3 linked regions of the Struthio camelus genome follow. The protein of the gene in region 3 purifies or fractionates together with the protein of the main gene of each other region. This does not show direct contact. Links are inferred from orthologs where the notes say so. Each region holds a gene or a part of one and is shown on either strand. Other genes may lie near its edges. The genes, in order: PNRC1, EDC4 and DCP1A.

The links.
Region 1: the proteins of DCP1A (region 3) and PNRC1 purify together in Homo sapiens (affinity purification with mass spectrometry; 3 studies listed by BioGRID and IntAct, with this or other methods). This does not show direct contact. The link is inferred for Struthio camelus from reciprocal best matches to the Homo sapiens genes DCP1A and PNRC1.
Region 2: the proteins of DCP1A (region 3) and EDC4 purify together in Homo sapiens (co-immunoprecipitation; 9 studies listed by BioGRID and IntAct, with this or other methods). This does not show direct contact. The link is inferred for Struthio camelus from reciprocal best matches to the Homo sapiens genes DCP1A and EDC4.

Annotation. Positions count from the first base shown.
Region 1 is NC_090944.1:49,907,685-49,911,429, reverse strand, and holds PNRC1 (proline-rich nuclear receptor coactivator 1), read right to left. Parts: upstream 2,765-3,745; 5' UTR 2,764-2,764; coding exon of another isoform or gene 2,695-2,763; 5' UTR 2,588-2,694; coding exon 2,159-2,587; intron 1,485-2,158; coding exon 1,044-1,484; 3' UTR 366-1,043; downstream 1-365. UniProt on the Homo sapiens protein: Nuclear receptor coactivator. May play a role in signal transduction.
Region 2 is NC_090951.1:24,310,204-24,313,948, forward strand, and holds the start of EDC4 (enhancer of mRNA-decapping protein 4), read left to right. Parts: upstream 1-1,120; 5' UTR 1,121-1,260; coding exon 1,261-1,339; intron 1,340-3,745. UniProt on the Homo sapiens protein: In the process of mRNA degradation, seems to play a role in mRNA decapping. Component of a complex containing DCP2 and DCP1A which functions in decapping of ARE-containing mRNAs. Promotes complex formation between DCP1A and DCP2.
Region 3 is NC_090955.1:17,446,184-17,449,928, reverse strand, and holds the start of DCP1A (mRNA-decapping enzyme 1A), read right to left. Parts: upstream 2,225-3,745; 5' UTR 830-2,224; coding exon 386-829; intron 1-385. UniProt on the Homo sapiens protein: Necessary for the degradation of mRNAs, both in normal mRNA turnover and in nonsense-mediated mRNA decay. Removes the 7-methyl guanine cap structure from mRNA molecules, yielding a 5'-phosphorylated mRNA fragment and 7m-GDP.

The sequences.
Region 1 (3,745 bases), on a different chromosome or scaffold from region 3:
CTTTGGCATCAGTACTTTATCGGTACTTTAATGATCACTTAATATGAGAGCAGTTAAGTAGCATTCCAATGGAAATTTGAATGCTTAATTCCCGAACTGTCTCGAAATCTGCATTGTCAAGAAACAAGATTAGGGATTCTCAAATGATACATCTCAAAGGCAACATATTGTGACAACCCCATGGGATTCTTGATGGGCTATCAAACCTCTTAACTCTTCAGATAATTAAAGGTCATGAGAAGGACATAAAAATTCATCTTATTTAGTTATGCCCTAACAAAAGTAATCATATAATTTAAGTTCAAACATTTGAATTAAGAGCATTAGAAACAACAACAACAAAAAAAAAAAACATACAGACATGCTTAAGGGGAGGCCAAATTGTTTTATTTCAATTTTTCGTAACCAATTATATTTTTGGCAGAGAGCTCTGCTCTTTTCTTTTTTTCCCTTTAAAGAAATCAGCAGTGCTCAAGTTGATGGGTTGGAATTTTACTCAAATTCCAGGTAATTTTACAACAAACAGATGACCAGGAATTCCAGACACTGTTTCCAGAGCAGAGAGCAAAAGTTCACATTTGCATGAAAATTCCATGTTTATACTTGATTGGGCCACAGAATGTAAAATTATTATCAGTAGTGCATGAATAAACCATTCACATTTGATCTAGAACCTTAATACCAGAAAGCTGTACTCTCCTTTCAAAACTTCAACACCTTGTGCAAATCAAGTCAAGTCTTCATGTGCCAAGCACACATTTAAAATTGTCCATATTTTATATACAAGACATCTACCATTCAGGCAGTGCAAAATACATCCTTTCATAACAAAACTAAAATGTACCTCTCGAAGTATGAACAAGAATATACACATAATACATGATGTACACTATTTACACAACCATAAAAAATATAATACAAGTTTTTTTTTTTTTTAAATGTGATTATAAGACTTGACAGTCTTTTGCAATTCATGTTGCAACAAGGCATGTTTGAGTTTCCTGGATGGACTTTTCTTTGCTACTACCCAGAGATCTCGGAAACTATGTTTGAACTTTTAGGAGAGTTTTCAAGTGGACTGCCATCAGCTCCCTGTTTTGGTCAGAAGGTTCAGCACTGCCACCCACCCAGTGGCTGGGAGGCTTTGGAAGGACACTAGGAGATGGTGGGTCACTAAATTTTGCCCCAGCATAGTTTTCTTTTTGGCTTGCTTCAGTTAGGGTGATAGGTTTCTTGGACTTTGCATTTCTGAAGTTCTCTGTGTTTTTAAGTGGCTTTTTCTCCTGCTTTTGAATTATTTCGGGCGACACAGTATCTTGCCAGAAGTTCTCTATTTTTTTTGCAGAGGTGATCTTTGTTAGTGGCATGTTACATTTACTCTTCTGCCTGTTAATCTTTGGTTGTTCACACAGATGTATACCGTGAACAGGCTGGCTGTGGGGGGCGGCAGCCTTCTCAGCCTTTCCCATCTTGTTCTTTAAGAACTGCGGAGACAAAGAACTCACGTCAAGGCACGACCCCCCTCCTCAACAGGGGCCTCCGGCAGCGCTAAGGCACACGAGTGCCAGCGGGGGGGGGGGGGGGGGCTCCGCCAGGGCTCGCAAAGGCGTTCCCGGGACGCCCTTCGCCTGCCTCTCTCGACGCACAGCAAAGCGAGACCGACTGCCACCCCAACGGCGGCGCAGAGAAGCCGCCGCTAGCTCGTCAGCCTCAAGGCGGCCCCGGGGGGGGGGGGGTAGCGGAGCTCTCTCCCTTTCTCCGCGGGGGCGCCCGCCCGCCGCCATGGGGCGCTACGCCCCTCGCACGTCCCGCCTGCGCGCGCAGGGCTCGCTGGCGCCCGGCCAGCAAGCTAAATCCGGCTGTTGCTGGGCGCAGCGGCCGCGTTGATTGGTGGAGCCAAGCAGCCAATCGCCGCCTGCAACTCCTCCCCCACCCCCCCCCGCCCGCCCGCCGAGCGAGCGTAACGGAAACTCTGCGCCCACCTCCGCCCCGCCCCGCCCGCCCGCCCGTCCATCCGCGCGCGCGCACACACACACACGGCGCGGGGGGGGGCGCAGCTCGCCCACCCCTGCCGCCGGGGACAAAACAAGTCTCCCGTCTCGGAGTGCGCGAGCAGGAACAGGAGAAGTAAATGGAAGTAGCGGAGCCCTTTCTGTACCTCCTTCCTGAGGGGTTTGCTGGACGCTGGTCTGGAAGGGGCGGGCGCAGGGGGCTCCTCGGGGGGACTCGTTACCATGCTGGGGGCGGCGGAGACAGCTGGTGCAGGGGGAGGGCGAAGTTCGCCCGGGCCGTGTGTTCCCAGCGGGGTCCTTCTCCCCAGGCCGGCGCGATGCTGTTGGTACTGTTGGTAGCGGCTCGGCAGGAGCCCCGCGGGGCTGGGCCGGATCTTTCCCTTCCTCCGCCTCACTCTCTTCAGCGCAGGCCGCGCGCTGCCCCCCGGACCCGCCAGGCAGCAGCTGGGCTGGTTCTCACAGTTGCTGTCCCCTCGCCTGAGGTGCTGGAGTAGAGTCGAGGGCAGCCGCCTGGGGTCTTCGGTGCCTGCCGAGATCCGAGCCAGGAAGGGCGGCGGCGCCGTGGTGGTGACCATGGTGAGCTGTGGGTACCCAGAGCTGTAGAGGGGAGAGGGGTCGAGCCCAGGCAGGGATGGATAGTTCGGGTCGCTAGGGAGTGTCCACCTGGGCTTTGTGGGCTGAGATGGTGGCGCGATCAGACCCGCTGCTAGGAGAACATGGCGGGGGAGTGAGAGGAGCAGGCAGCAGCGCCCCAGTGTTGTTACACGAGACGGCCACGCCCCCTTCCGCCCCCGCGCCAATCGCCGCGGGAGGAAGGCGCAAGGGTCACGCCCCTCCGCTGGATACCGCCAATCGCAGGGAAACGACAGCCTCTGTGGCCCCGCCTCTGCCAATCAGAAGCGACACAAACACTTCGGGACACGCCCGCTTCCGTACGCCGCCCAATCCGGGCAGACACAAACAGCGGACACGCCCCAGTCTCCGAGTCACAGGCCCACAGCGCGAAGCGAAGGGACGGAACGAACTGCTCTCCTTTCGAGAGCGACCGGCCAATCGGGCGGCGCGCGGGCAGGTTAGGCCACACCTCCGCGCCGCCGCGCAGCCAATCGGCGAGGACGTAAACACGGGGCGGCCCGCCCCTCGGCGGGAGGCGGGTGCGCGTTGCAGGGGATGGAGGTGCCGGTGCTGCGGCCTGCTGCGGCGGCCCCGATCCCGGCCCCGGCCCCGGCCCCGGCCGAGGGGGCGGCGGCGGCGGCGCGGCGCGACGAGCGGAGCCTGGAGGCGCTGAGCCTGGCGGGCGGCGCGGCGGCAGCGCGGCAGCAGCAGCAGGCGGCGGCGGCGGCCGCCGCGGAGGGGCGGCGGGCGACGCTGGCGAGCGCCCTGGAGCTGGAGGGGACGGTGCTGCGCGAGGGCCGCCTCACGCAGTTCGTGGCCAACAACCTGGAGCGGCGGATCCGGCTGAGCGGCGCCCCGCGGGGCGAGGCGGCGGCGGCGGCGGGGCCCATCCCCGCCATCGACCCCGGCGCGCTGCAGGACGTGGTGGCCCTGGCGGGGCAGGTGGCGGCGCAGGTGGACGAGCTGCTGCGCAACGTGCACTGCGGCCTGCAGGCCCTGACGGCTCTCAGCGTGGGCTGCATCCAGACCTACCGCGACGGCGTGGAGAGCCTGGGCGAGGCGGCCGACCTCAGCATCCGCGCCATGTACGCGCTGGTGGCGCGCTGCGAGGAGCTGGA
Region 2 (3,745 bases), on a different chromosome or scaffold from region 3:
CAGGAAGATCTTGTCCACTATGTGAAAATAGTCCTTTGGTGAGTTCAAAGAGCTAAGAGAGAGGTTTAGTTTCCAGGAATGCTACATGTTGCCAGTGTTAGTTTAACAGCAAATCTAAAATGAAAATTCTTTAAACCCTTAAAACTTCTTTGAAGTTATCCCATGCAGTTGTAACTGGCTATAGGGGGAGGAAGTGGGCCATAATAATACTTTTCCACAATAGTACTTTTTTTTTCCCCTCCTTTCTCCACGGAGTCATTCATTCCTGGTTCCTTACCTGGAGGAAACAAATGCCAGTGTTTCTGAATCAGTATTGCTTAATGCTTTCAGATCTGCAGGTCACTTTTGAGGCCTGTGATATGTGAACAGGTTTGCTGCCTCTTAACTGAATGCTTCTTTCTTGTACCCTTGTCTCGGTGCAAGTGTTAGACTGAGCCCTGAACAGTCATGTTCCAAGTTAGGGGGCTTCTTGGAGAGGTGGAGATAGCTGCCTGTAGTTGGAGAAAGGGAGCATTACATGTGATGGGTTTTTTTTTCCCCCAAATGACCTGTCTCACCCCTTTCAGAGCGAAACTTCTGGAACCCTATCATGGTATTGCATGCAGTTTGGTTGGAATTTCATACTGGCTTTGAAACTAGTGCTATTCATAGCCACATTAAAAATATGTCTTAAGAAAACTCTGAATGTGGTTCTTGAAGGCAACAGGTAATCTACTTTGCAGGGAGCTATGTGAGGATAGGGAAAGGAGGAACATTTTCCTCTTCAGAAGAAGGGGATGACTTGCTTCTCTTCTCTCCTACTTAATATCTGCCTTTTAATCGCCTGAAGAAAGCGAGGCCCAGCCCTGCTCCTCCAGCTCCTCCAGGTGAGAGGAGCAAGGGTGAAGCCTGGCCCGGAGTCACGAGTGTCGGGGTGGGGGGGTACCTGGGGCCCCTGGCGGCAGCTCCCCGGCCCCTGCGCGGCCGGGTCGGGCACCTGTCAGAGCGGGGACGAAGGGAACTCGCTTCAGCCCCGCCCGCTGGAGCAGCGCCTGGGGGCCGCCGGCGGCCCTGGCCCGCGCTGTCTCCCCAGGCGGCAGCAGCCCCGGGGCGGGGCTGCTCTGCCCCTGCCGCGCCCGGAACGCGCCGGCCCGGCGGAGGTTTCCGCCCGGTGCTTCAGCAGCGGGACCGGAGGCGGAAGTGGGGGCGGCGGGCTGGGGTAGGTAGGGGTAGCGCGGCGGCGGTTGCGCGGGCTGTGGCGACAGGAACCGGGCTGGCCCCATGGCCTCCTCCTCTAGCATCGACATCGAGGACGCGACCCAGCACTTGCGGGATATCCTCAAGCTGGATCGGCCGGGAGGTGAGGGGACCGGGGCCCGAGGGGGCGCGGGGAGGCCGCTGCCGGTGGGCCCGGTCGCCGCTGTCGCCGCCGTGGCGGTGCCGGCCGCAGGTGTCAGGAACCGTGCTATCCTGCCCCAGACCTGCACCACAAACCTCTGCTCAGCCACTTGGCCCCGTTGGGGGGGGGGGGGAGGGAAGCACCTGTTCGCGGCCCACAGTGCGCTGTAGCTTTGCCGTCGTTGTTGCTCAGGGCCCTCCGTCTCGAGGCCGGGCCCTACCCGTAATTTGGGCCTCGAGCCCCACGCGACCGGAGCAGCACTGCCGTATGGTGGCCGCTGCCTGCCCGCCTTGCGCTCACTGCTGGGGCACTAGTGGCATCATTCTCTGTAGCTCGGGGTGGCTGGCTCCATCCCTCTGAGGTAAGAGCGAGGGTGGTCAGGGAGTCCCACTTGCCCTGAATCTTTTGCCAAGGAGCACAGACTTTAGTGGCAAAGTTTGTACCAGCTGGGTAAGGAGAGGACCCCAGTGACTGGTAGCTCAAATAAAATCCAGAGCAGGCCCTCGCTTACAAGAGACAGCATCTGTTGCTGAACAGGGCCTGGAAGCCGTGTGGACGCAAAGCTCACTTTTTCTAGTGAGCTCTAGTGATTTCTGAATTCTCTTTTCTAAGAGGTGTCGTTGTCTCTGAGTAGGTCAGCACAGTTCAATTCTCCACTCAAGTCTCTCTCCTTTGTTAAAAAAGTTTTGAGGTCTTTGAAGTTTTCTTACTGGACTGAGTGGATGGGGCTATTTGGTCTCTCTGAGATTGGCACTGTCCTCACCCTTTTCAGTCCCTTTTTCATTTGAATGTAAAATGGGCTTCGTGTCATAAACATCTCTCTAAAAGCAGTGGTGAATCTTCTCCCTTTGCTTTGAGCGATTATACTTCTCTGCTCTGAGTTCAGTGGATCAGTCAGTGTCTTTCTACCCATGAGAAATATCTGTAGTAGACGGCAATGGTCTTAGCAGTCAGCTGTATAAAATGTGTTCCAACTCCCTTTTAGCATAGTATCTCTCTCTCAACCCCCCAACATAGCTTTTGGACCTTCTGGACTGTTTCAGTCTAACCTGGTAGGGTAGTGAGCTGAAGAAGATTGTTCCTAGATGTTTTGCAGAAGCATAGTGTATGGATAGAGAACAGAAATTATGCCCTCTTCCTTTTCCCTCATTGAGAGCATAAAGAAGAGCTTCATTTTTTAAGTGTCCTGAGAGACAACACCCAGTCTGTCAGTACAAATACACTAATGCCAAGGCAACTACTGTATGTGCTGTCTTTTGCTTGGTCAAAACGATGAGAGGTTGGATGTAGGATTGTTGTGAGGGAAGTGGAGGCACATGGGGTGACAGATGCAAATCTGTCGTAAGCCAGGGTTTGTTAGTTTTGGTGTCCATAGAGAAACTTCTAATTAGTTGAAGTAGTTTCTCTTATTTTTGGAACACTTAGATTCCCCAGGATTTTAATACTAATAGTGTAAAAATACACTTCTCCTTTATAGTGCAAGGCTTTGTACTTGAAAGATTGAAAGGAGAACTCAATGCTGTGATGGGGAGTGTTTGTTTCATGAGCAATTCATGAACTGGAAGGATGTGTCGTAACTGGGAAATGGTTGAAGTTGTTCTCTCAAGGTGACTTGACTTCCCCCTGAAGCAGCTTCTCTTGCTGTTAGAAGCAAAGGAATTGGTCATTGAGAATGGCTTATATCTTTTCATTTTTCTTCTTTGAAATTGATTCCTGTCCTTTGCATCTCATTTTCTTTATACCTTCTCTGTCAACTCCAGCGCATGAGAAAGTAGTTAGGAGGAAAAGGAGTGAGTGGACTGCGAGTCAAGCAGTAACGCGCCTGTATTTGTGCTCAGCAGGAAGTGTTGCCTGTGTAGCAGCAGAGACTTTAAAGAGCTGGACAAAATGAAGAGCAAGAGTACTTGTTTGTTAACTGAAAGGCTCTGAAAGGCCTATGAACACAACAAAGGGAAAGGGAAATTGAGGGATTGATTCATCAAAGCTTTTGAATAGAAGCAGTGCCATGAATTGCATGTGAAGGGCTAGTCTTGTCTGGCATAACAGCTGCTGCTGTCAAGATCCTCTCCAGTTCTAGTTTCTGTTATTCGTAGCATTTACAAACTAAAATACCCCACAAAGAATAGTGTAGCTGCTTTCCAAGCCTCTGAACAGTAAGAAAGTTTTGCCTTGCAGTTATGAGCAGTATTATGTTATTCTAGGTGCTCTCCGAGCACGTGACGAGATGCTCCCTGCTCCAAAGAGTTTGCAGCTATTGTAACACTTTCTTTGTTCTGCTGTTTTTGGTGGTTGTGAAAATGCAGTTCCTCACCTGTACCCCATCTCTCTTGATAGAGGTTTTACTTGATTTCAGTGTATATCATTCAG
Region 3 (3,745 bases):
GGCTCTGAACTACCCATTAAGAACAAAAACAAAAGATCACACTTGGGAAAAAAAAAAAAAAAAAAAGGCAATCCGGCAACAGCCCCCACGAGCCGAGGAGGCCTGAAGGAGCACCACTGTCCCGCAGGCAGATGCGCCTTCCCCTCATCTCCTGGGGTGTAAACGGGGCGGGCGGCAGGCCGCGGCGAGGCACCGGCAGCTCAAACCTCCCCCCGGCAGCAGCGGCCCAGGGCGGAGGCGAAGGCGCCGGCGCCGTCCCCGGCGGGGGGCCGCCCGGGGCGGGCACGGGCGGCCGGAGCCCCCCCCCCCGCAGCTCCCAACGGCCGCGGCGGGCCGGGCCGCCCGCTGCCGCCCTCCCCCGCTCATGCCGCTGCCTCTCACTTACCCACTCGTTGGCCTTGGGGCTGAAGCTGTAGAGCGCTACCTGGCCGGTCACGTCGGCGATGCTGGTGATGTAGGGGTCGTGCTGCTTTAAGGCCGCCAGGCTGATCTCCTGCCCCGCTCTGCTCAGCGACTCCATCTTGGATCCCGGCAGCAACCGCGGGGGCGGGCAAGAAACGGCGGCGCGGCGTCCCCGGCGCACCCGTCCCCGCCGCCGGCCGGAGCGCCGGCCCCGCGCCTGCCGTTCCGCGCCGCGCCGCGCCGTTCCGTTCCGTTCCGCTCCGCTCCGCTCCGCTCCGCTCCGTGCCCGGCCGCCCCCGCCGCCTCCTTCGCCCGGAAATAAGCCTCGAGCCTTCGGTGCTCGCCGCCTTCGGGTTTTGTTGGGGGCGCTCTGACCACTCGATGACACTGCCGTTTGTGGAAGGGTACACGTTGACCCGACTGCCATTGAACTGCAGGGCCTGGGCCGTCTGGCTTAAAAATGAAAACGCTTTTCAAGTTTGAGGGTTAACGTTCAGCTGACACCCAACAGTTAGAAGGGGGCATCTCTGAGCTTTCCCGTATGTCCGTCCGCAGGCACCGAGGGTTTCCTCGGTTGCCGTACGCCGTGTCCCGGAGGCCTCTGCCCCGCGCCCCCGCCAGCCCAGCGCTGGGGCCGTGAGCAGGTGGCCCGGATCCCCTCGGGCCCCGGGTGCCCCGGGTGGGCCCCCCCGGCGCTATGGCTGAAGGGGGTCCAGCCCTCCCGGCACGGAGGGATCCCGACCTCCAGCCCCGGCCGAGCCCCGTGCCTTGTCCCCTCGGGCCCGCTGCCCTGCATTTGCAGCCCACCGTCTTCTTCCGAGCTGTTTCTCCACGCCTGGGCGTTTCTTCATGGCAATGGGACAGGTTAAGCAAAGGTCTCCGCGTTGCACCCGCTGTGAGCGGTCATTGTTTCTATCGTTGTCATTTATTTGCTAGCGTTACTAGTATGAAGGCTTCTGAGTTCGCGGCAGGCAAGCGCGCGAGGGGCTGCGAGCTGGGTCATGGGGTGGCGGAGCGACCTCCCCGTGGTCGGTGGTGTCTGTTCCCTCCCGCTCTCCCTGGGCCACGCAGCCGAGAAGCGGGTGGGTGGGAGGTTGTTCCTGCCGGGCGTCCGCTGCGGCGGGCGCCGTCGGGGAGCGGAGCCTGCTGAGGAGGGCGACGGCGGGTGGCGCGCAGAGCTGCGGTCTCTGCCTCGGGGGCTCCCCACGCTTCTCGCAGCTATTCACCATTAGCTGGTGTCCGAATGCTTCACAGTCTGCAGCAGGACTTGGAGTTTCCAATATGTTAAAAGAATTTTGGAATTAAGAACTTTCAATTTTCTCAGGTATAGTAGACATAGCAACTCGCGTATGTGGTACAAATTGTACGCAAGTAATGTTGGAGCAATGACAAGGTAACATGCTGTGCTCTCTCAGCTTTGTTCCTGCAATTTTTTTTTAATCGTAAGTGATATTTTAGCAACAGGAAAGTATAAAATATACACTTAGGACCAAGACATGAATAACATTCAAAACAATATCACAGGGATTTACACTTGGTAGCATTTTGTGCAATCTGACAGGAATAAAACAGCATTGTAAATTTCGAAACAAAACCATCTTTGTGGCAAGATGGTTTCTTTCTGACCCTTCTGGGAATGCAAGGAAGTTCCTCTAAGCTCTGTATTACCAGGTCATGTTCTTCGTTGCAGGCAGACACACTCCTGATTTTAATTCAATTAGCTTTTCAGTTTAGACTTCTCCCGCAATGACAGACGCTTAATGCACAAGCATCAGCAATGATCCAGCAGGTCTGTGGCTCAATAAAACATCTTCCTCATGAACAATGGACAGGCCCAGTTCCGGTATCATTTTTTTCCGTAAAAGTAAAGCTTCTTGGAATGAACATTAATTTATGTCTTTTGTTGTTAAATAGTTCTAATTTAAAGTAAGCAGACATTTTTTAGAAAAAAAAAAGTGAAGTTTGGACAAAAAATTCCCATGTAGCTCATTCCAATAACTCACAGCTGAATCCTTAGACCTAAGCATCAGTAAAAAAAAAAAAATCATAAAAATCATATGATATGTCTTAGAGAGTTCTATGAAACTTTCATCCCCTTCTAATGATTTTTACCACAGGAGGGCATGATCTATTCCATAAAATTTGGCTTTTCACTGGTTCTGTTAGTAAAGTGTGTAAAGCTGTTCTCATCAAAGAGCAAACAATGACAGTTAGCATAATGTTAAAAATATCTTCATGTAAAATGTCCAATTACTATTCAGTAACACTCTAACTTGAGAAAAGATAGTATGTAGAAGTTAACATTTGAAAATTTTTTAACAAGAGGGTGTTCAACATTCTAAGGGCTCAAGTGAAACAGCAACAAAATGACAAAAACCTTTTAACATTTTATTTTAAATGGCATCTTTAACACCTGCACCAATCTACTCCTTTCTTTTGAGTCAGACTCAAGCAAGACTACTGTAAAGCAAAGATATATTTCAAAGTAAGAAACTTCTTGACAAAGGACAGCTTTCTGCTGTGCCAGATCTTCTCAAGCATGAAAACTCCTTGGCTGCGTCTTGAATTAAAAGTGAAGCATGAGGAGCATTGATAACAAAAACAAGTGGTGGTTTCCGCTTATGGATTGTTTTCCTCCTTCATCTGCTAATTCCAATTCTGCCTTACAGAGAATGTATTCTCTCTGCCCTTCTTCACTGCTATTGCCTTAGAATGAAATATTTTATATCAGAAATGAGTCATACGGCCTACCATCTGCTTCCTCAACCTTGAAGTACACCAAAGTATAACATATACTTAGCCTCAAACTTTGACCTCAGTGTAAACTGAAATGTTAGTTATATCCATTTAGGCTTGTTCTATGACTATTATATTTTGCAGATATCTTTGTCCTTCTTTGGAGTTACTCAGCAGTTAGTGCTGGGGAAATGTTCATCTCTCACTATTTCTGATTCTTGCGCTAAACCAGACAGAAGTGGGATGATGTAGATAATGCCCTTCTGATGTTTTCTCTGTGAGTGGGACAGATTCCATTTGTGTTTCAACAAGTGAAGAGAACATTATGTTCTGTATTTCAGTTATTCAGCTGAGGTTTTACAGGACAGGACATGCTGGTTTATACCTTAAGTACTGTTAATCTGTTTGATACAAATTAATGTTCAAATAGGCTAAATAATAAGACCCTTTTTTACCCCTTCAGTTGCTTGTGACAGCATGACTGGGTCTTTCTATTGCTCCCTGCTCTACTCTTTGGAGTTGTGCAAACTCTTTTTCTTTTTCACACAGCAGATTGTTTAAATATTCCTAAAGCGTATTTGGAGCACAGTCACTCCTTTCAGACTTG